Drosophila melanogaster: one gene and its partners. The protein of the gene in region 1 interacts with the protein of each later gene in a pairwise test. Each region holds a gene or a part of one and is shown on either strand. Other genes may lie near its edges. The genes, in order: DIP1, Adar, Tango9 and CG3511.

What was found.
Region 2: the proteins of DIP1 (region 1) and Adar interact in a two-hybrid assay, tested with the Drosophila melanogaster proteins (one large-scale study listed by BioGRID).
Region 3: the proteins of DIP1 (region 1) and Tango9 interact in a two-hybrid assay, tested with the Drosophila melanogaster proteins (one large-scale study listed by BioGRID).
Region 4: the proteins of DIP1 (region 1) and CG3511 interact in a two-hybrid assay, tested with the Drosophila melanogaster proteins (one large-scale study listed by BioGRID).

The regions. Positions count from the first base shown.
Region 1 is NC_004354.4:21,624,296-21,632,175, forward strand, and holds DIP1 (DISCO interacting protein 1), read right to left. Parts: upstream 5,854-7,880; 5' UTR 5,742-5,853; coding exon 5,679-5,741; exon of another isoform or gene 4,609-5,678; coding exon of another isoform or gene 4,549-4,608; exon of another isoform or gene 4,460-4,548; coding exon 4,066-4,459; intron 2,596-4,065; coding exon 2,018-2,595; intron 1,958-2,017; coding exon 1,760-1,957; 3' UTR 501-1,759; downstream 1-500.
Region 2 is NC_004354.4:1,775,932-1,783,818, reverse strand, and holds the start of Adar (adenosine deaminase acting on RNA), read right to left. Parts: upstream 6,001-7,887; 5' UTR 5,979-6,000; coding exon 5,796-5,978; intron 5,450-5,795; exon of another isoform or gene 5,301-5,449; coding exon of another isoform or gene 5,259-5,300; exon of another isoform or gene 5,208-5,258; coding exon 5,120-5,207; intron 5,005-5,119; coding exon 4,859-5,004; intron 4,730-4,858; coding exon 4,561-4,729; coding exon of another isoform or gene 4,439-4,560; exon of another isoform or gene 3,758-4,438; coding exon 3,575-3,757; intron 3,489-3,574; coding exon 3,208-3,488; intron 3,145-3,207; coding exon 2,994-3,144; coding exon of another isoform or gene 2,980-2,993; exon of another isoform or gene 2,619-2,979; intron 2,102-2,618; coding exon 1,936-2,101; intron 884-1,935; coding exon 784-883; intron 711-783; coding exon 231-710; intron 164-230; coding exon 65-163; 3' UTR 1-64. UniProt on the Drosophila melanogaster protein: Has A-to-I RNA editing activity on extended dsRNA: edits RNA-binding protein Rnp4F. A-to-I editing of pre-mRNAs acts predominantly through nervous system targets to affect adult nervous system integrity, function and behavior.
Region 3 is NT_033777.3:11,970,482-11,976,692, forward strand, and holds Tango9 (transport and golgi organization 9), read right to left. Parts: upstream 4,430-6,211; 5' UTR 4,133-4,429; coding exon 4,065-4,132; intron 3,977-4,064; coding exon 3,829-3,976; intron 3,747-3,828; coding exon 3,593-3,746; intron 3,532-3,592; coding exon 2,756-3,531; 3' UTR 2,388-2,755; coding exon of another isoform or gene 1,619-2,387; 3' UTR 1,548-1,618; coding exon of another isoform or gene 1,413-1,547; 3' UTR 1,351-1,412; coding exon of another isoform or gene 1,295-1,350; 3' UTR 695-1,294; coding exon of another isoform or gene 550-694; 3' UTR 526-549; downstream 1-525. Other genes in the region: GC1 (glutamate carrier 1), read left to right, coding at 1-292, 353-493, 550-694; GC2 (glutamate carrier 2), read left to right, coding at 1,295-1,350, 1,413-1,547, 1,619-2,387; CG10005 (uncharacterized protein), read right to left, coding at 5,035-5,233, 5,618-6,014.
Region 4 is NT_033778.4:24,569,603-24,575,003, reverse strand, and holds CG3511 (uncharacterized protein), read right to left. Parts: upstream 3,378-5,401; 5' UTR 3,297-3,377; exon of another isoform or gene 3,233-3,296; 5' UTR 3,099-3,232; coding exon 2,930-3,098; intron 2,880-2,929; coding exon 2,676-2,879; intron 2,619-2,675; coding exon 2,435-2,618; intron 2,381-2,434; coding exon 2,148-2,380; intron 2,090-2,147; coding exon 1,876-2,089; intron 1,823-1,875; coding exon 1,520-1,822; intron 1,453-1,519; coding exon 1,334-1,452; intron 1,189-1,333; coding exon 1,068-1,188; intron 1,009-1,067; coding exon 789-1,008; intron 721-788; coding exon 574-720; 3' UTR 501-573; downstream 1-500. Other genes in the region: Start1, read right to left, coding at 1-14; Fcp1 (TFIIF-interacting CTD phosphatase), read left to right, coding at 3,480-3,886, 3,977-4,070, 4,133-4,569, 4,651-4,832, 4,895-5,401.

The DNA of each region.
Region 1 (7,880 bases):
AAGGTGAACTCCGAGGTAGCAATCGGATGAGACATAGTCAATTGTATTTCCGTCGAAGAGAAGACCTAGGCAGGTTTGAGGTCGCAGGGTAAATGTGACACAGGCCGACTTAGTGCAGTTAATGGTTATGTTCCATTTGAAAGTCCATCGATCGATTGCATGCAGCCATTCCTGAACTGCATTGGAAGCGAATTGCAAGGATGAGGGCGACGCAAGCATGGTGTCATCAGTAGGTACGTGGCCAGGATCAGCTGAGCAGGGGACGACTCATCGGTGTTGTTGACGGGTGTTGCATGTCAGCAGTGTACAGGGTTTGTGAAACCACTTCGCGGATTTCACCCAGGGAAACGCGGCGGTACAATACTTCAGTGTATGTCGTTTTATTCAAAATAAATGTATAATTTAAAAGCTGTCTCAATCAAGAGCATTGGGCAACATTGGACAAATACTCACTCTCATCAAGTATGAGCACAAGAAATCAAAATGCACTTTACAATTTTATATTCAATACATGTACTTATGTCTTCATGTTTTTAAAAATCAAGTAATTATACCACCCATTTAGCTTAATCTAGTTTACGACAAAAATGTAATTCACTGGTAAGCATAATTAATATTTGATACCCAATCTGCCACTGAAATCCTCTTCTGTGGAAGCGTTTTCAAAAAAACCAAACCCACAGTGTGTCGCAAAATACACGGAAAAAATTAATCAGCATTACCAAGGAATCCTGCGTTTAGATTATTCGGATAATCTTATCGGCTCTTGCAGTTCAAAATTATTCGTTGTTGAAAACGGCTCCGGCCCACCTAAAAAATCATAAGTAAGAGCTGTCCCAAATACAAACTAAATTGGGAAATTCTTGTTTAATATGCCTCTTCACTTTGACAGAAAAGGAATTCTTAAAGTTGCGCCATTGACGTCAGGGTCGCAATCTTCTGATTGCTGTCCGTTAAGAGAGGCATAGGTGTGTTGTCGTCGGCAGTTGGAGTCTGCGGTTGGAGTTGGTGTCTTAAGTGGTGTCGCTTAAAGTTGCGCCATTGACGTCAGGGTCGCAATCTTCCGATTGCTGTCCGTTAAGAGAGGCATAGGTGTGTTGTCGTCGGCAGTTGGAGTCTGCGGTTGGAGTTGGTGTCTTAAGTGGTGTCGCTTAAAGTTGCGCCATTGACGTCAGGGTCGCAATCTTCCGATTGCTGTCCGTTAAGAGAGGCATAGGTGTGTTGTCGTCGGCAGTTGGAGTCTGCGGTTGGAGTTGGTGTCTTAAGTGGTGTCGCTTAAAGTTGCGCCATTGACGTCAGGGTCGCAATCTTCTGATTGCTGTCCGTTAAGAGAGGCATAGGTGTGTTGTCGTCGGCAGTTGGAGTCTGCGGTTGGAGTTGGTGTCTTAAGTGGTGTCGCTTAAAGTTGCGCAATTGACGTCAGGGTCGCAATCTTCCGATTGCTGTCCGTTAAGAGAGGCATAGGTGTGTTGTCGTCTGCAGTTGGAGTCTGCGGTTGGAGTTGGTGTCTTAAGTGGTGTCGCTTAAAGTTGCGCCATTGACGTCAGGGTCGCAATCTTCTGATTGCTGTCCGTTAAGAGAGGCATAGGTGTGTTGTCGTCTGCAGTTGGAGTCTGCGGTTGGAGTTGGTGTCTTAAGTGGTGTCGCTTAAAGTTGCGCAATTGACGTCAGGGTCGCAATCTTCTGATTGCTGTCCGTTAAGAGTGTCCGTTATGTGTGTTGTCGTCGGCAGTTGGAGTCTGCGGTTGGAGTTGGTGTCTTAAGTGGTGTCGCTGTAGGTGAAGTTGGTGCCGAACAGAGAGTTGCACACTTTCACGGCCACGTTGCGACGGGCGATTTTCTTTGATCTGCCGTTGGCGTGGAACTCCTGGTTGTCCACCATGATTCCCAGATGCTGCATGCCGTTGGTCTTGTCGCCAGATGACCCGTAGTCCACGTAGTTGAGTCCCGGACGCATCTGCAGAGGAATTGATTACTGACACTGTACATAGTAAGGTAGTAAGGTGGGCTGGCCTACAATGCAAAGAATGGTCGCCGGGTGCATGGTCTCCCAGCCAGAGGGTAGCTCGGTGCGCACTGGCGGCTTCTTTGGCTCCTTCGGCACGGGGGGAACTGGAGTTCCGGCATCCCCTCCCGCCTGTTGGGCAGCATTGGCCGAAGGGTGCATCTCGGGCACGACATAGCCCTCCCGTTCCCACTCCGCGAACAGCTTGTAGATGGCAAACGAGGCCAGATTCAACATGGGCAGATCATCATCCGGTGCATCGGCCTCATCCTCGTTGATATCCATTGGCTCCGAACCCATCTCCACCTGGTGAATACGGGGCGGCTTGGGGGTCATTTTTGCAATAATAAAATCGCGCCAAGCCTTCTCGCAGGCCGCGTTCTTGGCTGTCATTTTCGAGGTACCCTTGCCCTCGTACTGATTCGAGTTGACAGTGACAACGGCCGTGAATCCCCCGTCGGTATTGCTGTCGATGGTGAAATCGCTGATGGTCACGCCCTTCACCTCGTTGAGGGCCATCAGAGCGTTCTTGGGGAGCATGGACTTGCGCAGCTGGCGGTTCTGTCGCAACTTCTTGTCCCGAGTGCGTTCTACGATAGAGTTAATAGACATATATACAAGAATATATAAAAATGAAATTTGAAGTTGTAAGTACAGCTGTGTTCATAAAAATAGCAGTGCGAGGGAAACTAAGTAATACAAATTTTTCCATGTCCCTTTTCGGAATCGACTATTTGTTCCACTTGTTAGTGTAAAATGGAATGTGTAGATAGGAATAAAAAAAAAAGAAAATTCCCTTAGCTTTACATGCCATCCTTTTTTATTTTTTATTTTTCATTTTCATTCTTGAGTAAAATCACAACTTTTAGGCTGTTCATAAGAATAGCAGTGTCTGGTTTTGACCAACGTAAAGTCCCGAAATTATCAATATTTTCTAAAAAGTGAGTTCGGTTAAGTTAATTCGTATATTTAAAAGGGCAATAAATTAAAAAAAAAAATAAAAAAAAAATATATTTTAGTGGCTAAAGGACAGCACTGCTCCCAGGAGAAAAGAATGTTAATTCTTAAGCTAAAAAAGAAAGGAAAAACATATAAGGACATTCAAAAAACCATACCAAACGTAAAACCACAGATATAGAGGATCGACGCATAGTTCGTTAAAACAAAGTCTATTCTTTTGCATACTCTAGGGACATGAAGTCTGAGCTGAACTTGGGAATCAGTGACGTTGCAATTCGGAGACGACTACTTAATCAAAATTTAAGTGCGAAGAGCCCACGAAAGGTGCCCCTACTTAGCCAAAGGCATATTCAGACAAGGATAAACTTCGCTATGGGCTAGTTTTTTTTACAATGGTATGAGTCCATAAAATATGATTTTTGGTATTATAGACCAAAAGCGCATATGTAAATATTCTTAGTGATGTCTTACTGTCATATTCTTAATATAATATGCCCTTAAAATGGTCATTCCAAAAGGATAATAATCCGAAACGTAGAAGCAAATCGGCTAGGTTCACCCAAAATAGAATAGATGCCGAGGACAGCACCATCTTCCGATTTAAACTCGATTGAAACCCTGTGGGGGGACATTAAACAATATGTGTCGAAGAACTGCCCGACGCCTAAGGCTCAGATTTGACAAGTTGTGCAGGATGCATGGTCGAAATTCCCCCCAAGCGTTGCCAGGACCTAGTGGACACCATGCCGCATGGGTGTAAGGCTGTGCTAGCTAACAAAGGCTATCCAACCAAGTGTTATGCCGTAATTAACATATTAAAAAGAAAAAGAATTTCTGCCTATTATGTTGTTTTAATCTACACTTTTGAAACTATTGAAGGAATAAATGTGAAACATGTTTTGAATTGTTCAAAATTAAATACCTAATGATATTATAAAAAAAATGGACCAATAAAACTATAAAACATAGGAATTTTTTATCTTAAACTCGCAACACAACTGTAAGTAATTTCCGGTCTGCCCTTCCATAAGAAACCTAGTGCTTTGTGTGAGCGTGTGAAAATTCTGGGAAATCTGATCACCAAAGGTTTCCTCGCTTACCAGACGACTTCTTGCGCTTTTGGAAGATTTTTTTAAATGGGATCTTGCCCCCGATGCCGCTGGCACTGGTACTGGCACTGGTATTGTCCTCTATATTGTCGACGGACGGTTCATCGTTGACAGAGATCGGCTCCTCCTTGATGATAACTGGCATGGGCAGTTTGGAGGCAATGGCGTCCGCATCCGGATTATTCTGCTGGTCGGACGAGTTGGCCAGTTGAACGGGGGCAGGAGCCCCTGGCGACTGAACAGCCAAAAATGCGTCCTGTGGCGATTGAACAGCCACCGGGGAGGCCGATGTCGGATATAAAGCCACCGGAGAAGACTGCTGCTCCTGGACATTGGCGGCCTGCAACGGCATTTGGATCAAAGGCTTGACGGTGGCATTGGGATTCTGCGTTTGCGAAAGAGTTTCATTAGTCGATTAGTTAGCGAAGGCAACGGGTTCCGCCTGGCTCGCCAGGCTACCCTAGACAAAATCACTTGCAGCGGACTGGTCCAGTGGGTCGACAAAAAAGCGACTCGCTGGCCAACGGAAACCATCAAGTCGTCAAGTTACCCGGAACCGTCAGGGTGGTCGGCTGGTCTACTTAAAACCATAGTTCCGGAACTAGCCATGGCCATTCCTGCGACCCAAGTGCCCCGAAACGAAGCTCTGCACCAACGGAGCCAACTGCCCAGCGACTGTGGATCTCCGTTTATCGGATCCAGCCGAGGACTCCGGGACCAGGTAGTCTATGCTAATCTATGAAAATCAGGTGTACTGCACTATTAGGGTAACCAATGTCTCTTTAATTCAATGGGCATAAAAACCGCAAAGTCCGGTTAACAAATAAATTCAGTCTCATGGTGAGTTAACTTTTCGCTAATGTATTCTGTTTGCAGAGAGGTTCGAGAAAATCTAATTCTAATTCTAATAGAATTTTCTCCGATATGCAAAAATAGAGTAAAATAATTGACTATCGACCTATACGTTTCACAATTCTGTCTATTTTAGCATGAAACAATAGTTATGGGGATCCTTCGGTCATCGGCTGAGTTCATGGTCGCCGGCTCGTTTCGGGCACTTTCGGTGGAGTGAATGGGCATTGCTATCTGACCCAAAACTAATAATTTTAGTTACAGTTTCGGGTGAATGCATTTTCAGTAGCCATAAAAGTTAGCGATAACCGCAAGTCCAGCGTGAAACTATAGCAGTGCTGGCCATATCTAGTTGATCGAAAGCACGAACGGAGTGGAATGAGTGCAATGCAAATGGGTGGGTTACGAATGTAAGGGGAGAGGGGAAGGTGGTGGATGTCTGGGGGGTGCATTGTGAATGCTGGTGGAATTCGGACAACGGTCTGCACTTTCGATTAACCCGCTTTTAGTGGCTATTGCAAATGAGTTCACAATTGTGGTGAATTGTGAATGAACACTTTCACTTTGTGCGCTGCAAATTATAGAAATAAAAACGAAAACTTTGTTATTTCACAAATCAAATATGGATGATTCCAACAATGGTTTTTGTTTTCGTGATGCATTTTCACTCGGAATACATATCTTCGTGACGTCACAGGGAATTCTTAACTCACACTCCTGCACACACTTGCAAAAAAAATTAAGATTCTTACGTAAATGCCTCCAAAGACAAATGGCTTGTTGTTTCCAGCAAATGCACGACGATTTCGCTTCATCTTGATTTTTTTTGTAATTTAATTTTTCACTTTTGTAATTCGCTTTTTCGCTTTTGTAATTTAATTTTTCACTGCTCAGGTCACAGAAAGAATCGTACTGCACTGAAGTAAAAAACTTAAGTAGGGATGTCAAAATATATGTAAATATATCGATATTTTTCACATATTTCGAAAATCGTTTTTAGTATTAAATATATTATAGACATTTCACACTGGCCATAGTAATATAAGCAAAGTGATGGAAAGACGGCGGAAAAAAAAGAGCAGACCAAAGATTTTATTGTGAAATAATTAAAAGCATGCTAAAAATAGCACGACGATGCTCTTTGGAAGTGCTTAAAAGTTATTGCGAAAATTTAGAATTGAAACAGTACTTCTGTATATCGCGAGAATATTATAGCTGTTAAATTGTGTGCATGGTAATTCCCTACATTTTTGTTTGACTGACTGACATTCAAATGTATTAAGAAAATAGTATAGAACTCGAACCATAAGCGCATGACTTTTCATGACTTGCAAACACAATTTGCCTGTCTGCAGCGTGGGCAAAATCTATAACGTCAACAAAAAACAGGAAATGTTTTCACACTGTGTTAACAAAAGTTTTGCGTTTCCTCAACTACAGCAATAGGAAAGTATGCGACTTTGTAAAAATGAACACCAAATCAACTGAATTAACTATCTACATTGGGATTAATAGGTGTGTTTTTCATATTATGCATATATTAAAAAAATACTAATGCTCAAAGTAAGGTAAGATACCTGTTACTTAGATAGTGGGAGTGCGACGGAAAATTTTCGACATTATTTTTGCATATCTATAGAAAGTTGCAAGACAAAAATTTTATTTAAAAAAATGAATATTTTTCAAAAGTGTGGGAATGACAGTTTTGGATAAACGAAAAATAGAATAGGTGTTCACACTGTGTTCACAAGAGTTTTGCGTTTCCTCAACCACATCAATAGGAATGCAAGCGAACTTATGAAAATTAACTATCTGTGTTGGGATTAATAGGTCAGTTTATCATATTTTGCAAATATATTTGCTATATATTTATATATTAATCGAGGTTTTTATTCTTTTACGAATATTTAAGCAGTGTCAAACTGCGCTGCATAGGCATACAGGCATAGTCCCTTAAGGTTCGCGAGGTTTCAAAGGTCACTGATTGGGCAGACGGAAAAAAGAATATGGGACAGCTCGACTCGTCTTGTGATCCTGGACTTACAGGGAACTCAATACACACATATACCAACCCACTTGCAGAAAATCAAAATCAAAATCAGAGTACGACTTACCGCGTATTTTGTAACTTTTATATTGTAATTGTAATTTAATGTTTCGCTGCTTAAGTCACAAAACTATTGACGAAAACAAATCAGGATCAAATAAAAACCACAAGGTAACCATATTTCTATGTTTAAATTGGAATATCTGAAATAAAGTGGTCCAATATTTTTAACTGAGGTCCACCCAAATAAAACGCCAAATAAAATACCTAATACTGTCGCAAAAGTTTTCTTCACTGCGGTACAAGAGCATGACCGAAATCAATATACGGTGTCCACGAATAGGAAAATCGTACACTGACAATAATCTAGTGTCAAATTTGTATAGCACCTATTAAAACAACGTTCTCAACGAGAAAACTTAAAGATAACATCTTAAATATAATTGTTTAGTCGCGTTTCCACATATGCACATACGCACATGTGCCAGTTTGAATTTGAAAATGAAATATGTAGAAACCAATTTTTAAACAAAAAGACATGAAAATACATGAATTTTGTTTTGTGTATATCAGAAGACTTGATTTGTGGGTTCCTTTCGTGAGTCTTCTTTTGATTTCTCTCAGTTGCTTTATGACGCCGGGCGCGTGCGCATTTAAAACAATTCTCGAAAGAAATGTTCACAAATTAGTTTAAATTCGAAAACGTTTCGGTATGGACGCAAGAAAAAGGAATTCTAAGAAATAGAAATTCTAAGCGAAACAACAACGAAAAAGGAAAATAATTTAAATAGGGATAATAATATACAAAAACATAACAACAAAAACACAACGGTATTAAGGAATCTGTTTCAGAATTTCAGTGAGTTAAATCTGTTAAAAAGTTCTGCGGTTAATTTGTTTGTTTCTT
Region 2 (7,887 bases), about 20 Mb from region 1:
ATTCTATTAATTGCTTGCCGTTGCTGTTGTCTTTTTTAAAATTATATAATAGTGCTGAGTGCAGTCATTCGGCAAGACCGAACTCGTCTTGTTCAATGGGTTTCTTCAGCCAGCTGCCAAGGTCTTCTCGCTTGAATGCAGAGAACAATTCTAGCTTTGCGATCTACAAGAACAGATGTGGCAAACAATTTGATGCATATCCTCAAATGATCCAGCATATAAACACTCACCTGATAGTCCTTAACGTTAGCTTTGGTTTGCCCATAGTCAGTGGTTACTTTGCGGACTAAAATACCGGGCAAGTTTGCCATTAGAAATCCATACTTAACGAAAAACGCCTGCTTTGTGATGCGAGACACCTGGCCGCCAATGGTTCGACCGGTTAGCGAGTTCACCACTTCCAGCTCGGTGTCCCCAATGGTCCAATTGATCCCGAAGTTGGGAGCCTTGGCCTGATTCCGCGGCTCGGCCGAAGTGACTAGTGCCAGGCGCGGCTTGTTCAGATGGTACGGCGGTGGCAGGCCTTGAATGGACTTCTCAATTCGGCCGCAAACTGCGCGGTACATGTGCTCCGGATGCAACAGGCTTCCCAGCACAATCGAATGCAGGTACACCGGTTCAATTATGGAAGACAATAGTGAGCCTTGGATGCCCACGATGTTCCAACGGGCAATTTTATCCGAGCACGACATTGTTAGCAGGCGTTGGCCCTGCACAAAAGTCATAAATGTTGTAATGTTGATGGTTTACCACGATCTAATAGCAACCGCCCAATCGGGTTACCTGCAATACGCCATCCCACGTCTGGATACCATCACTGCTTTTCACTGGAATCGTCCCCTCACCGGACTCGATTTTGGTGCGCAGCTGGCCACGAGCTTTTCTGTTGATTGATGATTATTTCATGTATGATTCGTTGTCGGCATTATAAAATGTGAGTATGGAAAATATAATTATTAGCTTGTTCAAAAACTACGTTTAAAACATGCCAAGTAATACTGGAAACAAAACATGGTATGAATTACTTCATTATGTGGTAGGGAGTGGCGGGCGGCAAGGCTTATCATTAAAATTCATTTCTCACATATACTTCAAAGTAATCCCTCAGACCGGCACCTATTAAATCTGATTCAAATGGTAGGTACTTTTATGCTTAACCTATTTCGAACTGTCATTTTAAACGATTGTTGCAAACAAGAAAGGAAACTTCGGAGCTCCGAAGTTTGTAGACGGACATTGCCATATAGACTATGCAATAGTTTATTAATAGCGGAAGAGATGCCTTATTCTCTGCGTTCTATAACAACTGCAAGGGCATACAAATACGTATTTAACAAAATTGTGGAAGCGGAAGCCCATGTTTTGTATATCCTTGTCATCTTAATCACTTGACTGAATCGTTACAGACACATACATACAGACAACGGATGGCGAATAAAAAGCCGGGGGCAAATACATTTCTAAACAGACTCAACACAAAGAGTAAAAGCTTTAAAATACCTGATTTCTTGTATACATTCATGCTCATGTTCAAATTGATAGTTCTAATATTTAATATGAACAATTTCGTGCATTATGTTGCCACAAATTGAAATGAAAGTGTGCGATATAGTGCTTTCTTCTTTTGGCATATGCTTGCATTCCAGATTTTAAAAGTTATTTATAATGAACAAATGTCGCAATTTCATTGACGGTAACTTGTGGCATTCTTAAGCACGCAATTGTACATATACAAATATATATTTTTTTTATGCAAATACAAATTTTTTTTGCAATCTCAACGTGTTTCCTGCAGGGAAATGTCGTTTCTTATTGCGTACAAATATAAATCATTATAATTCTACTTGAATAATACAATTTAAATGTGTAAATAGGTAGAGAAAGTATTCTTCATATAAAAATATCGAGTATTTATAGAATGCAGTTTGTACCAACCTATTTGGATGTTTATCAACACCAGTGTCGTTTTCGTGAGGACTAAATATCCGTGCATCCCCACAAGGTGCTGTATTTATATACAAATGGAAATGTACCCCGGATTTTAGTTTATAAGGGTATTGCCCATCAGTATTCCTCACGAAAATCGACTGATATGCTGTGGCTAAATTTAGGAGAAAATTGAATAAGAGTAATCAAATATAAATTAAAGTAAAACGAAGTAGTTTTATGTTTAAATCTCATTCTTTTCACCAATACGCAAAGGTATACATGAAAAGAAGTCCAACAAAACAATGCGAAACATGTTTTAGTAAGAATGTTAAGCTGGGAAAGCAAAATGCCAATCGCAAAATACTACGCAACTTATACATATTTTATGATTTTGTTTTGAGCCAAAGGCAAATACCTTTTCCTATAATGCCCACTCTTATTTCCAAGTCAAAAGAACTATCATTAATTGTGTTTCCGATAGGTGAGTTTTGACTTAAGAATACTAAATGTGTTCACTGGGCCCAAATCATGCCACAGGCATTACATTGAATTCAAAAGAAACAATGTTACTTTAGAAGCTTTCCCTTTGCTACTTAATAATTGGTTTGCAATTTAGATAATAATTCAATGAAATAGTACAACTGAAATGTTAGTAATTAAGTAATTAAGGTAAATGCCATTCAAAATAAAGGATATTCGAGATTTTTAATGTTTGTGCTTAGATTTGATAATGTTTACAAATTGTTTATTTTTAAGATGGTTTGCCCTTAAAATTTAATTTTGTATAAACACCTTCTAAAACGATCAGACGGGGAAAACATAAGTTAGCTTAAAGTGCTTGTTTATAATGTGTAAAAGAAAGAAAAAATAAAAGTTTGTGCTCGTATACGGTTAATGAGCACAAATCGGAACTTTAGCTTCTATGTAGGCAATTCTTGCTGGTAAAGCGTACATTTTCGATATCAACATTTAACAACTAGATTATGCATTACTCTTAGATTTAAGTTCTATGGTATTATTAGTATACGTAAACTGAACTTAGCATATACATCAAACAACTATACCCTGATTGCACTGAAGGTCCAGCTGTGCATATAAATATTTGAGAAGACAACGCCTGGAGACTATTTCAGCATGGGAATCATTTAGGACAGCTCCGTTCACACTCATATGCTCACCGCTGACACACTTGGTGCCCGTCGAAACTGAAATAACCTGATCAAGGATGGGTTTGGCATTATAATTGGTTTCGCAATGCTTCGCTGGCTGCGGACTCACTTTGGCTTCACAAAAATTCATGTTTTCAGTCATTACAATGCCCGCTAATACCTTTCGACGCGAGTAAGCCTCCTGGCCCTTGATTACTTCCATGAACTTTTCTAAGACCAACCGACCAATCGTATCCGCGTGTATCTGAGGCAACTCCATCGATGACGACTTGTCGTCGATTGGCAGGGGTACGTTCTTCTGTGGCACCACCATTGGACTGTAGGAAATATTGCATAACGAAGCAAGTGCCGCCTTAGCTGCCGCATTTTTCGCCGTCTTTTTGGAAGGACCTTGAGAAAAATTGAGTTACACATTAGCATACATTGTATGTGGCTGGGTGGGTTGACGTTAACAACGAGATAATTCAACTACATACCTGTTCCATCGAACTTCTTTTCGTTGATTGTGACGGTCATTTTGAAGCGACAATTGTTCTGGGCGCCGTCAATATTAATGCATTCGAAATTAACGTCATTAAATAATTCGTAGAGGAGCATGACAGGACCCTTATCTGGAACCTTCTTCTGACCGTCAACAGTAATAGCACTTTTGCTGACATCTAGCAATATAAAACAAAATTAGCTGGGGATATTTGACTGCTCGTCACTCTGAAGCTACGCCTTAGTTTTCTAATCTTATTTCAGACGCAATAGTGGTCTCTAGCCATATCAGACAAACGCGAGGGGAACAATGAACAAGAAACACAAGAAACTTATAAAAACGTAGAGATCAACCAATGAAAGTCAATTTAAGTAAGCGTACGACACTGAAGCACAGAATTGGTTGCTCTATTAAGCATAATGTGCTGAATAAGGCGCATTAATAAAAGGAAAAAAAAAAAAAAAAAAAAAAAACAAGAGAAAAACAGGACTCAAGTACACCGAGGCCTTTTAGTAGCCGATTGTTGGGTTATTTATTAAAAATGGGTTCAGTAAGTAAAAAGCATTCTCTTTGGCCTATAAAAACTTCAGTCCAAATGAGCTGTGTGTGCTCTCATACAAATAACACAAACGATACCAAAATCAACATTGCGAACCTTACGGCACTTTAAACATACATATTTGCTTAAAATCATTGATAACAATTGATTTTGTGACATGGCCGATACTATTGGATATTCGGCCAAAACATTGCTATTAGATGAATGGAGACATCTTTGATATGGCCACAACGCATAAGGTTCCAGAATAAATTATATTAAATAATAAATTAAAATAATTAACAAAAGAGGATAAAAACACTAATACTTGCTCTGACTCATGCAAAACGTGGGTTGTTCAAGCGAGGTAGGGTTGGATAGCTTTTCAGTCAACATCGTCTGAATGATCTCAAACATTTTTGAACTGGACAAATTTTCAATACCATTTTCAAGATGTTCATCGCTGGTAAAGTCCAAGTTGCCCGCCGGCTTCAGAGGCGACAGAACTGCTCCATCCTTAAACTGTATAAAGCTGCGCAGTGCAGTTGCTGCTGCTTCGATGCGTGCAACTTTTTTACTACGGCCCTGGCCCAAGTATTTCTGTCCATCGACCTGTGAATTAGATTAGAGAACTTGAGATCGCAGGTTCCGTTCCTTTGATAATTCCTCAAAGCGACCTCCTCATGTTTCAGCTCAGTGGTCGATCGCTCAGAGGGTCCGATGGGTTTAAACATATCTTACCTCCACGGATATCGTGAATAGAGGTGCGTGTACCGGACCAGTCTGTGACTCCAATTTGTAAATCAGTCCATGTCTTAGCTCATTCAGCATGGCCACCGTGTTCTTCGGCTGGGGAATGCGCTCCTTGCACATTTTCTTTTTTGGATCTAGTGAAACGAAATGGCGTTGGGAATCAGTGTACTAATTCGCATTTGATCTAGCAATCTGGGATATGCCCGCATGGCACATTGGGCACATCCTAGTGCTTGGGGATGGACTTACCAGAGTATTTTGGCATCTCATAGCCACGTTTTTGTGGCAATTTTCGGTTATAGCCATTCATGTTGATATCGGATGGTGCACTCACCGGCTATGGATACGTATGCATTAATAGTGAAATCAAGAGTATTTAGGCATTTACTTTTAACACTGTACAGTACAACGAAAAGCATTCAAACTTCATTTTAAGGACCCGTTTTGTGTGTAGGCATGTAGTAACTCGCGTCTTCTAGAGGACTTGCTTTTTATGGCACCAAAGCAAGTATCATTGACACGGTTCTTCATTTGATATTACCATATATATCAAATATTGCCGAATTGAATTATGCACTTCTAGAAAGCAAAAACATGACTTAGAGACCAATCATGGTACATACATACACACAACGCTTTGTTTAATATTACGCACAACAACATCGATACCATATAGACAGTTATAGCAAGACGTTTGTAAAACAATAGCACACGAATACGTTTAGTTACAACGACTTTCTCACACATTTTGCTCGGTTAAAATATGTTCATATAATTTTGTGTTATATTTTTGGTAGTTTTTTGTGGGCTTACGGCTAAAAGGCATACAAATATTAAACTACATGTTGTATCTCTCCTTGAGTGCGAGTTTGTTTCGGTTCAGTTTGGTTTGAACACAGAGTTCGGTTGGACTAAATCTACTTACATTGCCAGGCAATGATGGGAACGTAAATCGGCGCTTAACAAAAAATCGTGACCTTTTTCCTGCATAACTAGAGGCGGCATAAAACTGTTGACGTTGGTAACCAAATGAGGATCGAGCTACTCGCATTGCATGGTGGCATGATTTGTAGCACGCACGCCCTGGTTTGTAGGACACTGGATACATTATTGGTCCACCTATTTCACTGCTATTTCTGTTGCAAGAAAACTGAGCAGCGAGCATCGAGCAACGATATGACATTCAAGACCGTCTACAACCCAGCGACTGATAAATTTCGAGTTTCCCGGCTAAGCACTGACATTTATCTGACAACGACAAAAGCCAACTGCAGCTAATTTTGTAGAAGGAACTGCAATTATGAAAAAAAAATTTTAAAAATGTACATACATGTGTAAAAACACATGTTTGTAAGTGTGCAGATAATTTGCGCGACTAGCTGCGATCTCGAGGAGCTCGATATTTATATACCCTTTTAAAGGGAAGGCACATGTGCCATGCCAGTCCGTTTCAGTGCAAGGCATTCGGGGACACTTCAAAGGGCTGGGCTGAAAAGGTATCTGATAGGATACTGGGGAATTCGTTTGATTTGCTCCCTAACCCGTACCAGTACTGGCCGAAAAAAAAATACATAATAAGCTGTGTTAGCCATCTTTTTTGAGTCGAGCATGGAATTAATTTTGAAAACCACTCTTAAGGGGGCACCCGTTCTAATCGAAGGACATCAACCTTGCTTTAATGGCAGGTGTCATTTGTTTTGCAATTGAACAGAAAGCACGGTGCATGTCGAAAATTGAGATGCTTTGGCGCTGATAAAACTTTCGCAGACGCCCAGAAGGCAGATTTCGTCGAATTAATGAAGTCAAAATGTCAGAAAGACATTACCAACCCTACAGCATGAACGAATTTACATTAAAATTTGGATGTCGGTGGAGCGGTTATTGCTGCAGCAGCTGCAGCACAAACTCAGAGATGCATGAGTTGCATTGGCGTATCAAAATCTGCAGTAATCAACAGCAACATTTTAAAATAAATATCTTGCGAAAATGTGTGCGTGTACATATACTAAGACTCCGGGATATACGATACACATTTGCGGAATCACTCAGTTCGAAGAAATTATATTTATGGTCAAAGTTTGGAGCAATTGGCGCTTGCAGTCTCGTAGTTTATTTATGTGCGCATAGGTGGCTAAAAGGACAGCTCACCGAGCTGCACGGCAAGTACGAAGAATACCTTTAAAATTTCTTTATAATTTCAATAAGTAGATATATTGCCTGCCCAAAGTGGGAAACAATAAATGTGAAATGCCCAAAGTGTGTTGTGAACAAAGCACGAAATAAACAAGTGAAACAATCGGAAACTCGTTAGGCTCGAGAAATATCCTCTGTCGCTGTTCTGACCATTTCGAATTCATTACAACATATTTATATAACACAGCACCTGTGTGTTGAGTGTCATTTGTCGGACAAGTGATGGCGAAAATTGTAAATGTCTAGTATAATAGGACCGGACCGGCCAGCTTCAAGTACTAATGAACATCAAGTACAACATCAAGCATAATTCCGTTCTTAAATTATGATCAGTTTTTTCATTTTAAATAAACACATCGAAAAAGAATAATAAGAAATTCCTTTGGGGAACTTAGGTGGTGTTGTGATTCATAGCAAAAGAAATGTTGAAAATAAAGAGGATCTATAGGAAAGCAAGGTATAAAGTTACCTACCATTTAATCATAAGTATCTTATGCTATTTAAAAACGAGTTGCAAAAATGGAAAACGGAACAAGAAAGTACACCAGAATATAATGTAATTGTCCTAAAACTACGAATCATGCCATATGGAGTATAATAATTGCACATAACTACGCCTAATATCATGCTATATTGTTTAATAGTAATAATACGTTTACATTTATGCATAGGAGTCTACGGCAAGATCAAACTGAACCATATCGCTTCCAGCCAATATGCAGTCTTATTACCATGAAAGACCCAGAATAACCCCGGTCCTCGTGACCAAAGCCTCTTACTTCCTGGATGAAGCCTCTTACTTTGCTTCACTGCCTTTAAATTTC
Region 3 (6,211 bases), on another chromosome or scaffold:
GTGCATTCCAAATTATCGTCACCACGCCCATGGAGCTTCTCAAGATCCAGATGCAGGATGCGGGTCGCGTGGCGGCGGCGGCCAAATTGGCTGGCAAGACGGTGGAGAAGGTGTCGGCCACCCAATTGGCTTCCCAGCTTATCAAGGACAAGGGCATCTTTGGCCTGTACAAGGGTATCGGTGCCACAGGACTGCGAGATGTCACCTTCTCTATCATTTACTTCCCCCTTTTCGCTACTCTCAATGACCTGGGTCCACGACGAAACGATGGATCTGGCGAGGCTGTGTTCTGGTAAGTAAAGCATAATTGTCTATTTGTCATTTTTATATTTATTTTATGCTAATTAAATAGGTGCTCCTTCCTGGCGGGCTTGGCGGCCGGTTCCACCGCTGCCCTCGCAGTTAATCCCTTCGACGTGGTCAAGACGCGTCTGCAGGCGATTAAGAAGGCCGACGGTGAGAAGGAGTTCAAGGGCATATCAGATTGTATCACGTGAGTTCAAGAAATGTTGCCAATATATCCTTAAACTCATATAAATTCTCCAATAGTAAGACACTGAAGCACGAGGGACCCACCGCCTTCTTCAAGGGCGGCCTGTGCCGAATGATTGTGATTGCTCCTCTGTTCGGAATCGCTCAAACGGTCTACTATCTGGGCGTGGCCGAGGGCCTGCTGGGCTATCAGAAAAAGTAGGGCGGCTTGGAATGAGTGCGCGCCAAGGCGGATTGACAAGACCGAAGCATTTTAAATGTACTCTCTTTGAATATTGAATGTGTATGTATATCGTGTTTAAATGTTGTTAAAGCTGTCCATGAATGTAATCGTGAAGTCTCTATAGTAAGCTAAAGTAATCGAACGATGCGCCAGCCAGCGAAGTTGTTAAAGTTTTCCCCAATCCTCTTAAACTACTCAAACGATGTACTACATATGTATTTAGACCATGTCAGAAGATAACTGATGCTCCAATGACAATAAGATAAAGCAAATTAATCGCTGATATAATGTACATTTTTGGTTAATATCATAGTCTATAACTGTTGTGTTTGGATACTCTCTCTATTTAGTCTTTATTTCCCGAGCAATCCGCAGCTAGCCATGAACGTTCTGCATCAAATTGTATTAGTAATGCATTTTTCTTTGCTGCCAGGCGAAATTTACTTTTAGTGGCATTCAAGAACATGACTAGAGAAATTGTATGCTTTATAAAAACCGTCAGAATTGAACTAACGAAATATACTAATGTAAATTCAAAATTTTCGTACAACATTAATTATTTCTTGGCCTATAAAAAAAATGTTGGAACAAGTTGAGCAAAAGAACCAAGAGCAAAAAAAACCACAAAAGTTTAAGTTAATAAGTTCTACCATATGGTTAATACTACAACCTATACTTAATTGCGAACCCATCACAGCGTTTTTCCGAAAATTATAAATGGCGGCGTCGCCGGTATTATTGGAGTGGCATGCGTCTATCCACTGGACATGGTTAAGACGCGACTGCAAAACCAAACAATAGGTCCCAATGGAGAGCGCATGTACACCAGCATGTGAGTTTTGGGTTTTCGGTTTGGGTTGTGTTTTGTTATTATCCGCCTAATGGAGAACTCTATTGCCTTAGCGCCGACTGTTTCCGAAAGACTATCGCCAGCGAAGGCTATTTTGGAATGTACAGAGGCTCAGCGGTGAACATCGTGCTGATTACGCCCGAGAAAGCCATCAAGTTGACCGCCAACGACTTCTTTCGGTATCATCTGGCATCCGATGACGGGGTTATTCCGTTGTCACGGGCTACTTTGGCCGGGGGCCTGGCCGGGCTATTCCAGATCGTGGTCACCACGCCCATGGAGCTCCTCAAGATACAGATGCAGGACGCCGGGCGGGTGGCTGCTGCCGACCGAGCGGCAGGACGAGAGGTGAAAACTATAACGGCCTTGGGTCTGACCAAGACGCTCCTTCGTGAGCGTGGAATCTTCGGTTTATACAAGGGTGTGGGCGCCACTGGAGTGCGGGATATTACGTTCTCGATGGTGTACTTTCCGCTAATGGCCTGGATAAATGACCAGGGGCCACGCAAGTCAGATGGTTCTGGGGAAGCGGTCTTCTACTGGTCTCTGATAGCTGGACTCTTGTCTGGCATGACTTCTGCCTTTATGGTCACCCCTTTTGATGTGGTCAAGACTCGACTGCAGGCCGATGGCGAGAAGAAGTTCAAAGGCATCATGGACTGTGTAAATAGGACCCTTAAGGAAGAGGGCATAAGTGCATTCTTTAAGGGCGGTCTATGTCGGATAATGGTGCTAGCTCCACTATTTGGTATCGCGCAAATGTTTTATTTTTTGGGTGTGGGCGAGAAGATTCTGGGCATCGAGCGAACGAAATCTGTGTAACTTATAATTAAAGGTCTCTTCCCCCCCCTCATATTAATAAGAATTTTTTTATCCCCGAGTCGATTAAGCCATGTCCGTTTTATCCGTCCGTCTTCTACACAAGCTAGTTCCCCAGGTTTGAAGCTATCTGTATGAAACTTTCCCAAATTGGACGGCTACATCATAGAGGAATTATCCTATATAAACCAATATTTAGAATTTAATGAAATGAAATGACTTCTAGGAGCTCAATTAACATTTAATGTGTGTATTTTCTTATTGCATCTATACATATAATCGATAAGTAATCTTCAAGAATCAGCCCAGGGTTGATTTGCAGCCCATCTCTCTCATCACAATCCTTTCACCTCAGCTACTCCTCAGTCACCTTAGATCACATCCGCTGGCCGGCTGTTCGGAGCAGCCGCATTCTCAGTACCCAAATCCACGTAACGAGCACGATACCAGCGGGCCACTGCAGCTCGATACCAGTCGAGGAATAGGGCCTGTCGGTAGAGGATGATACCCATTTGCAGGATGAGGAAGCCCATGATCGTGACCAGATTCATGTACTCCCACTCCATGATAATCACAAACACCCAGATGAAGTAAACGCGTAGGCCATCGGCCAGAAGCCGGTTGGCGCTGGACGAGTACATCGCAATGTACAGTCCAATGAAGTTGTACATGGCACATGAGATGGTGAAGGCAATCAGAGTCATAATCAATGAGATACTCCCCTGCAGAGCCGCAAAGAGATCACCCCAATCGTCGAAAACTGCACGCGAACTACAGCTAAATGGATCAATGCTCGGCAGGAAGTTCATGCAAATGGCCAGCATCGAGGTGATGCCCAAGCCGAAGATTCCCTGCCAGCCAGCAGCTTGCAGTGGAGCAACATTCGAGGTTTTTAGCTGTTTCTCCTCGCAAACATATTGCAGTCCGTGCAGAATTTCAGCAATGATGATGAGTAAGTCGCCGGTCAGAATGGATTTGTAGTCCGTGTAAGGCAACGTGACCAGGTCGTATTCAACGCGATGGACGTCCAGACTGATAATGTCCAGCAGGCCGCACGATATCGTAAAGATGGCCAGCCAGTGCCGTCCGGTCAGCGTGTGATTCAGAAACATGGTGCTAAAGATGCCCACAAAGATCAGGGCGGCGCCTGCGGGAAAGATGAGGCGACGTAAGTAATGATAAGCAAGGCCACTGTCTGATAGAAGTACCTCTTATCATCTGAAAGCTGGTGGCGTAAGTCAAGTAAAGTCCGGTGAACAACAGAATGGAGGCTGCCGCATCCAGCAAAGTGGGCAATAGCATGCTAACAGGGCGGAACTCACTGCTGTCCTGCGACAAGATGCTATCCAGATCGGATATAACCTGTGTATGATTGCCAGATGATTAAAAGTTCCTTAAATACAAAAGCTTTGCCGATTATAAACCAACCGGCATTGGAACTTACTCCACGACGATTGGAGATCAGGCGGATCACCTTGAAGACCGCAAAGCACAGGAACTCGCCCAGGAACATGAGCAGTGTGAACACCACTGGATGTTGAAATCCATGAAGTTTTCCATCGCTGCCGATTACCTGTTGTTGATTGGCCCACCTGCAATGCGTACACGCACACACAGCATCGAGTGCACATTTATTTAGCACTATTACTTACTATTATTAAGCGATCTTTTGGTACTCACTTCACCACCAGAACGTTGAAGGTGCCGCTGAGCACAAAGATCAGCGACAGGAAAACACGATGATCCATTCGTCGGCGGAAGATTCACTTGACGGGTGCAGCGTTAATTCGATTTATAAATATTGACGTTCTTTGTGCAATTTGCAATTGTGACTGCGCAGTGATAAGTGCAAAAAAGTGCGGCCAGACGGTCAATTGACTGCCCTTCCACAGATCTATATAATCCACTTGAGTTGTTGTGGTCATTAACCAGTAACTTTACCTTTTTCAAGGTCAAAAACCTAAGTAACTAGTAATTTTTTTGCAAGTAGTGCGAATTAGTTTGTCTTTACGGGACTTTTGTTTATTTTTTTTCGCCAACAGTGAGACCGCACAGGCTAGCAAAAATACTACACAAAATATAGTGAGCAGGAAATCAACAACGAATATGGTCACACTACAAAGCAACTGGTGGGTTTTAAATTGGCGCGTGAAATTATATTTTGAAATTAAAACTGAATCGACACCAAAATGCTTATGGATTTAATATTAGGGAAAGTGTCACATAAAACTTCGTTGACGATCTTTGGGACTTTACAAATTGTATAAATATTTCAACAGAAAAATGGATTACTTTTGCCAAGTTTTTATTAAACACAAACTTAAAAAATATCACAGGATATGAAAAACCATTTAAATGAAAATACATGAAGTGGTGTTAATGCATTTGCCGCACAATTGCCATCAATTTGCTTCCGTTGGCGCCTGCGTCGCATTCTGTGCTAATTTCCTGTAAATAATTCAATATTATAATATAGTATAGGATCGCAAAATCGATATTTAGCAAACATTAGCAAGCAAAAACACAGTTGGCAACCAAAGCGTGTCCTGTCGCCTCACCTGTACTCTGTGGTGTTTCTTTAAGTGTTGTGATAATGTCTTTGAGTATCTTGTGTTCTATTTAAGTATCGTTTCGTGGAGTGTAGGTGTTCCTAGAGCTCATCTCGCGCCTGGGAGGACGATGGCAGCGTCACCTCCTCCACGGAGCCCAGGTGTATGGTTCTATTTGGCCGACTGAACTTTGGTATGTATGCGACCGAGTCGCTGTTGCTGACCACCGAGTTATGTAGGTGTTCCGTGGGTGCCGCGGGATCAGGACTTGTGAGTGTGATTTTCGAACCAGTGGCCACTCTGTGGAATGCATGTATGTGGGCGGGTATTGTACTGGTGGTGTGACAAGTGGACTAAATAATTCGGATAAATATTCGAATATCCTATGAGTACCTATCTGGGCCGTAACTGATTGTTGTGTACCAAAGTTAGTTATGTATGGTTAGTATAGCGCTACTTGGCTGGTATTAGATTTTGGGGGTATAGCAAAAAAACTGGTCATCTCTCTTGTACCTTATGTACAGCTTTTGGAGGTGATTGTAGTCGAAGAGGAAAGATCTAGATTGGTTGAAAAGATCTATTGGCGCTGGCGGGCTCCACCGCGTGCTCCGCGCAACTTTTGTGGGTTTCTAATGCAGATCAGAGATCGTAATCAGAGATTCGGACTCAGATCCGCCACCTTACCTGTCCCTGGCCTGCATGCTGGCCTCCACGTCCAGGTTGCGAGGCTGCCGGAAGTCGCATTCCAGCGAGAAGGCCGAATCTCCGGGTGTGATCAGCTCTGGGTCGTTTTGGATCACCACGATGTTGGTGTAGAGATCACCATCCCGGATCGTCTGGCACTGGTCCAGCTGGAAGTTCATCTCCATTGTGCGGGATCCCTGGCTGGAAGATGGCTTCATGAAGCACGGCGCAGACTGCTTGTAGAAGCTGCCACGAGTGTACATCACACCCATGAAAGGCTTCTCCGTCTCCAGCACCACGTTCATGGAGTCCGCTCCGCACTTGAGGTTAACCTTTTGAATGCCCTGGTCGCTGCCCTCGATTTTAAAGGTGTCCGAAAGGTCTTGTTCCCAGATTTCTGCAATAGGGCGAAACAATTTCATGCTTGACATTAAAGGTGGTTTATGTAACACGTTTCTATGCTATTAAGTAAAAATATCTGCTTCTTTTGCTTTTTAATGTAATGTTGTACGTTTAGTAAACTAGGTATAATTGTTCCAATTAAAAAAATGCAAGTAACTAAACATAAAAGCCTGCTTAAGTTCTTCAACTTTC
Region 4 (5,401 bases), on another chromosome or scaffold:
TCCATATTGGACATGGCGAGCGGTTATATTTGGCCTAGCTCATGTCTGGAAATAAAGGCAACTATGTACGTATACTACAATTCACATATCGAAGACAATATACCTTTGCATGCAAATGTAAATAAACCTAGTTTTCGAATCTGGAGCAGATTCAGTGCCGATACGCACAAATGACTCGTCAGCCTGGAGTTCTTTGTTTTTTTTTTACTCAGCCATAAACAAATGGTATCGTATTATCTTGCAAGAACCCGCATAATTTGCGAGAAGTACCTCTATATTTCCGGTAGGCACAGGTTGGTTATGTTAATAAGTCTCTAATACTAGAAGGTGCACAACTAATTCCGGTTCTAATAATACTATTAGATTTGCAGTTGTCCCAATTTATATTAATTGCACTATCGAAACAAAAGGAACACCGAATGCAAGAAACGAATCAGCTGTTTAGTGTGCCGGGCTGGGAAAACACCAAAAAAACCGAGTTAAAAAAAAATACCAAAATTCTTTGCGGCGCATTGGCGGTTCTCCGAAGATTTGAAAACCAGTGTCGCTGAAAGTTTTATTTTAGCCCTCTGCTCAATTACTTAAGTGTATCGAAATAATTTTAATGTCGTCGTAGGGCTTGTCCGTCTTGGGATTCGCCTTGGAATTGCAAATGTTGAGAACCACCTCCATGCCGCGGTAAACTCTTCCGAACACCGTGTGCTTGTTGTCGAGCCAGGGCTGCAATTAGAGATTGGTACTTAGTCAATCCAGTAAAGTAAACTAATCACCGCTGCATTCATCCTTACCGTGGGCAGGACTGTGATAAAGAACTGGCTTCCATTCGTGTTTGGACCCGCGTTAGCCATGCTGACCGTGTAGGGCCGATCGTGTTTCAGGCTCGGCACGAACTCGTCTTTGAAATCGCTTCCCCAAATGGATTTGCCGCCCGTGCCCGTTCCCGTGGGATCGCCAGTCTGCACCATGAAGCCCTTGATCACGCGATGGAATATGTGTCCATTGTAGTACCTGACAAAATAATGTGATTGCAATGGGACAGTTCTCAACAGTTGACGTATATATAATACCCATTTTTCGCATGAACACAGAAGTTCTCAACCGTCTTTGGAACCTCCTTGAAGAACAGCCTCATGTGGATATCGCCTTTCGTGGTGTGGAGCACCACGTTCTCGTAGATGCGTTGCACGACTAGAATAGAAGGAACATTTTGTAATGAATTGTTCTTGAAATATCTGATAGGAATAACCTTCGTCTTAAAATATTGTTGGCGTGCAATAGAAACATGTTTTGGGTTAGTTAAGAAAGGTTAATGGGATAAGCCAAACCAAAATACCTGAAGCTTCCGGCACGGCGATAATGTCCTCCTTCGAGGGCTTCTCGTTGAAAATATCGCGGTCGACATCCTGCAGATCCGAGGGCAGTCTTCGGCTGTACAAATAGAAGCGACTTTTTCTAATAAGAGTAGTAGAATGGACATTATAATACAGCATAGATATAATTCAAAACGGTATGAACTAACTTGTAAGCAGTGCAAAAGGCTGTTGGATCGTTAAGGATATTCTGGAGTGCTGGGTTTTCACTGGCCTCTTGCTCCATTGTTATAGCAGCTTTTTGGCGCTTAATTCTTCCTTGAAACAAGGCCACCTGGAGGGGCCGTATGTTGTCGGTTTTTCCTAGAATTGTGACGCAGCGATTCGTTACCACATTGATCACCTTGATGCCCAACATCGTTGGGTAGAGCAAGAAGTTGCCAGTGCTGTCGAACAAAATATTAAGGGTTGCATTCTGGGCAGTCTTCTCCAGATCCCGCTCAGCCGCCATTCTGGAATTCATATCTTTAAACCAATAAATAATAACTATTTTATTCTAGTTTACCTTCTGCCAAACTCCATGTTGGGCAGGGCGTGCTTCGTCTGCTGCATTTGGGTGTATGTAGATAGAGCTTCATCGAATACCCGGATCAACTTGCCCGTGTTGAACTGAAAGACGCGGACCTTACGATCTGTGGAAATGGCGGCAAAACGCTTTCCATCCGGCGTGGCGGCTAAACCCGTGACTTGGGTCTTCTGTTTGGCAAACTCAAAGAGGCCTAAAAGGTTAATATTTAGATGAGTCTAGGTTCACTCAGCTTAATCATCGATCTATACTTGTGTCTAGCTTGGAGTCAAAATTCACCAGACGCTGTGGAAACTTGTAGTCGTACTTCGAGTTTTGCCAGTATTCGAGAATGCCATTGCGATCGACAGAAATGACGGTCTCCATGGCCACATTCAAGCACATCGCCACCACGGGCGCCGAGTGAAGTTTCTCCAAGGTGTGAAGGGCTTCTCCGCCTCCTTGCCCGTCGTAGATGTGTATGCGGCTACTCTCTGAATCCGAGCTGGAGGAGGAGCAATCAGAATCATTAATCTCCAGATATTGATAAGGTACTTACATGGCCAGTGCTTGTACGGCATCTCCCGGCCCATTTATCCACTCACTGCACTGCGGTGTGTAGCCCAATCGAATGATGTTGATCATGTCGAAGTTGACAACATCGAAGACCTTGGCTGTCTGATCCGTGGCCGCCGAGCAGAGCAGCGTGCCGCTGTCGTTGGTGGTCAGTGATTTGATGGGTACTGCAACAAACACTTGGTTAAACGAAGAAATACACGTTATGTGGATCAAGAACCCACCTAGGTGGCTGCGAAAGTGCTTGACGAACTCGATGCCCAGCTCGCCCTTCTTCCAGAATTTGATGTGTCCATCCAGACTGGCGGTCACTACGAAATCCGTCTTCGTGCACACCAAATGAGTGATCACATCGCGGTGCATGTAGCTCCTCTCGTAGCTCTCAGCATTGGGCAGGTTTTCCAGGTAGATGTGTTCATAGGGCAGGACTATTTATTGATTAGTTATAGTTAAATGAAATCTAATTCTTAATAATAACCCTTCTTTTTCTTGGCGGGCGCGGGAGCGCTCTGCTCTGAAGGCATGGGTCCAATCCAGGCGTCTTCCTCGCCTTCCGCCTCTTTTTCGGATGACACAGATTCCTCCTGGGGCTCATTCTCCTCCTCCGGGGCACTGCGCTTCAGGTCTTCCTTGGTTTTATCACTCATTTTGGAAGTTAATAAACAAAATACGACTGAACTAGTTTGCCGCCGATTAAACAGTGTTGGTTAACGGTCAAAAGCAGCTGATTCAAATGATTCTGCGATATCTTTGGACGAATATCCTGTATTTTAACTCAAAACTAAAAGAAACGAGTAAAATAAATTGAATTACCAATTAATGGTTAATTACGCACATTAACTAACCAAATCGAAGTGAAACCCCCATCAGTACTTTCCGCCTTTCGCGCTCAGTCAGCTGTTTGAGAGCAGTTACAAAAGTTGTCCGCGCTCTTATGCGAATTCCGCGCAATATTCACACAAATTGCAAACACAACAAGGCACTGGGATTTAAACAAATCGTTTGTATATAAAAACGTAAGCCTTGCGATGCAGAACATACCGGACGAGGAGGGCGCGACGCCCAGCCGCGCGCCAGGGGGCGTGGCCGCATCTGGAGCTGCCGAAGGCGACGATGGCGGCGGAGGAAGCGGAGCCAAGAACAGCGCCAGCGGCAACAGCAACAACAACACCAGCGGTGGCGGCATCATTGTTTTGAGAGCTGCGCTGGGAGAGAACGAGGCGAGAGCGGTAATCAATAAATGGCGGGTTCGCGAGGGACAATTCGTGTCGGCGGCCCAAATCTTGTTTCTTTACCAGCCCGTGGGCGTGGACGCGAAGGACGCGAAGGACGCGGGAAAGCCGGGCGGGGACTGTGCCATCCAGAGGTACAAGTCCCAGCGCGCCGGAGTGGTGAAGAAGCGCCTTCGCAAGGAAGGGGAGCTTCTTACGAAGGGGTGAGTTTGGGGGTTGCAATCGGGCGGCGATTGGGCGTGGGGGAATGCAATTATGCAGCCGTATACACACTAACCGAGCCTGTTCTTTAGGGATGCCATTCTGGAGCTGTCCGAGTGCATACACACCACGGTCATCAAGGACATGTGCGCGGACTGCGGAGCCGACTTGCGTCAGAACGAGAATGTGAGTGCACATTGCCACCCACCTCAAGGGGCATATAGAATAATTAAACATTTAACCCGCAGGGACAGACCTCCGAGGCCTCGGTGCCAATGGTGCACACCATGCCCGATCTTAAGGTCACCCAGAAGCTGGCCCAGAAGCTCGGGCACGACGACACCCGCCGCCTGCTGGCGGATAGGAAGCTGGTCCTGCTTGTCGATCTCGATCAGACGGTGATCCACACCACCAACGACACTGTGCCGGACAACATCAAGGGCATCTACCACTTCCAGCTGTACGGCCCACATTCCCCGTGGTACCACACGCGCCTGCGCCCCGGCACCGCCGAGTTTCTGGAGCGCATGTCCCAGCTGTACGAACTGCACATTTGCACTTTTGGTGCGCGTAACTACGCGCACATGATTGCCCAGCTGCTGGACCCGGAGGGCAAGTTCTTCTCGCACAGGATTCTGTCCAGAGACGAGTGTTTCAACGCCACCAGCAAGACGGACAATTTAAAGTGCGTTTCTATACCTGAAAGCTGTTTGGATTTTCACTTGTTAAACGTGTTAAACAATAATCTACAAATTGTATATTACAGGGCTCTGTTTCCGAATGGCGATTCCATGGTGTGCATCATTGACGATCGCGAGGATGTGTGGAACATGGCTTCAAATTTGATTCAGGTTAAGCCCTACCACTTCTTTCAACACACTGGTGACATCAATGCCCCGCCGGGTTTGTCTAAGCATGAACTGGATGGCGAAGGCGTTGACTTTAAAGGTGGGTTGGGTGTTCCAGCAAGCTGACTTGAATGTTTCTAACGATATTTCCATTTGTTGCAGAGATTACCGAGAAGCATGGGGACAAAGATAAGACGGAATCCAGCAGCGAAGTCAAACCAGAAGACACCGATAAGGGTGATAATACCGTCACAAGCACAAGCAAAGATGACGATGTAAACGAGGAGTCAGTAGACGTGTTCGAAATAGAGGGCGATGCCAAGGATCCAGAGGTTTCCAACGCCTCAAGCGCTACAGAAGCACCCAAAGAGCCGAGAGACAAATTGAATGGCAAGACTAATGCTGAGGATATTGTGGTCATAGACGACAGCTCATCTGGCTCACCAGATGCTGAAAAAGCAGCCAGCGATGGCGAAGACGTAGTAGTTATTGATGATAATTCCAAGGAGAGCACAAAAGCCGAGGTGCCCCCCACACCGGCAGAAAAGAATGAGGTTGTAGCCTCATCCACCACTTCGCCGGATGAGAAGCGCCCGTCTGCTGACGCTGATGTGGCCACCACGTCTAAGACGCCCAGCTTACGAGCACCGCTCGAGGGGCAAAAGCAGA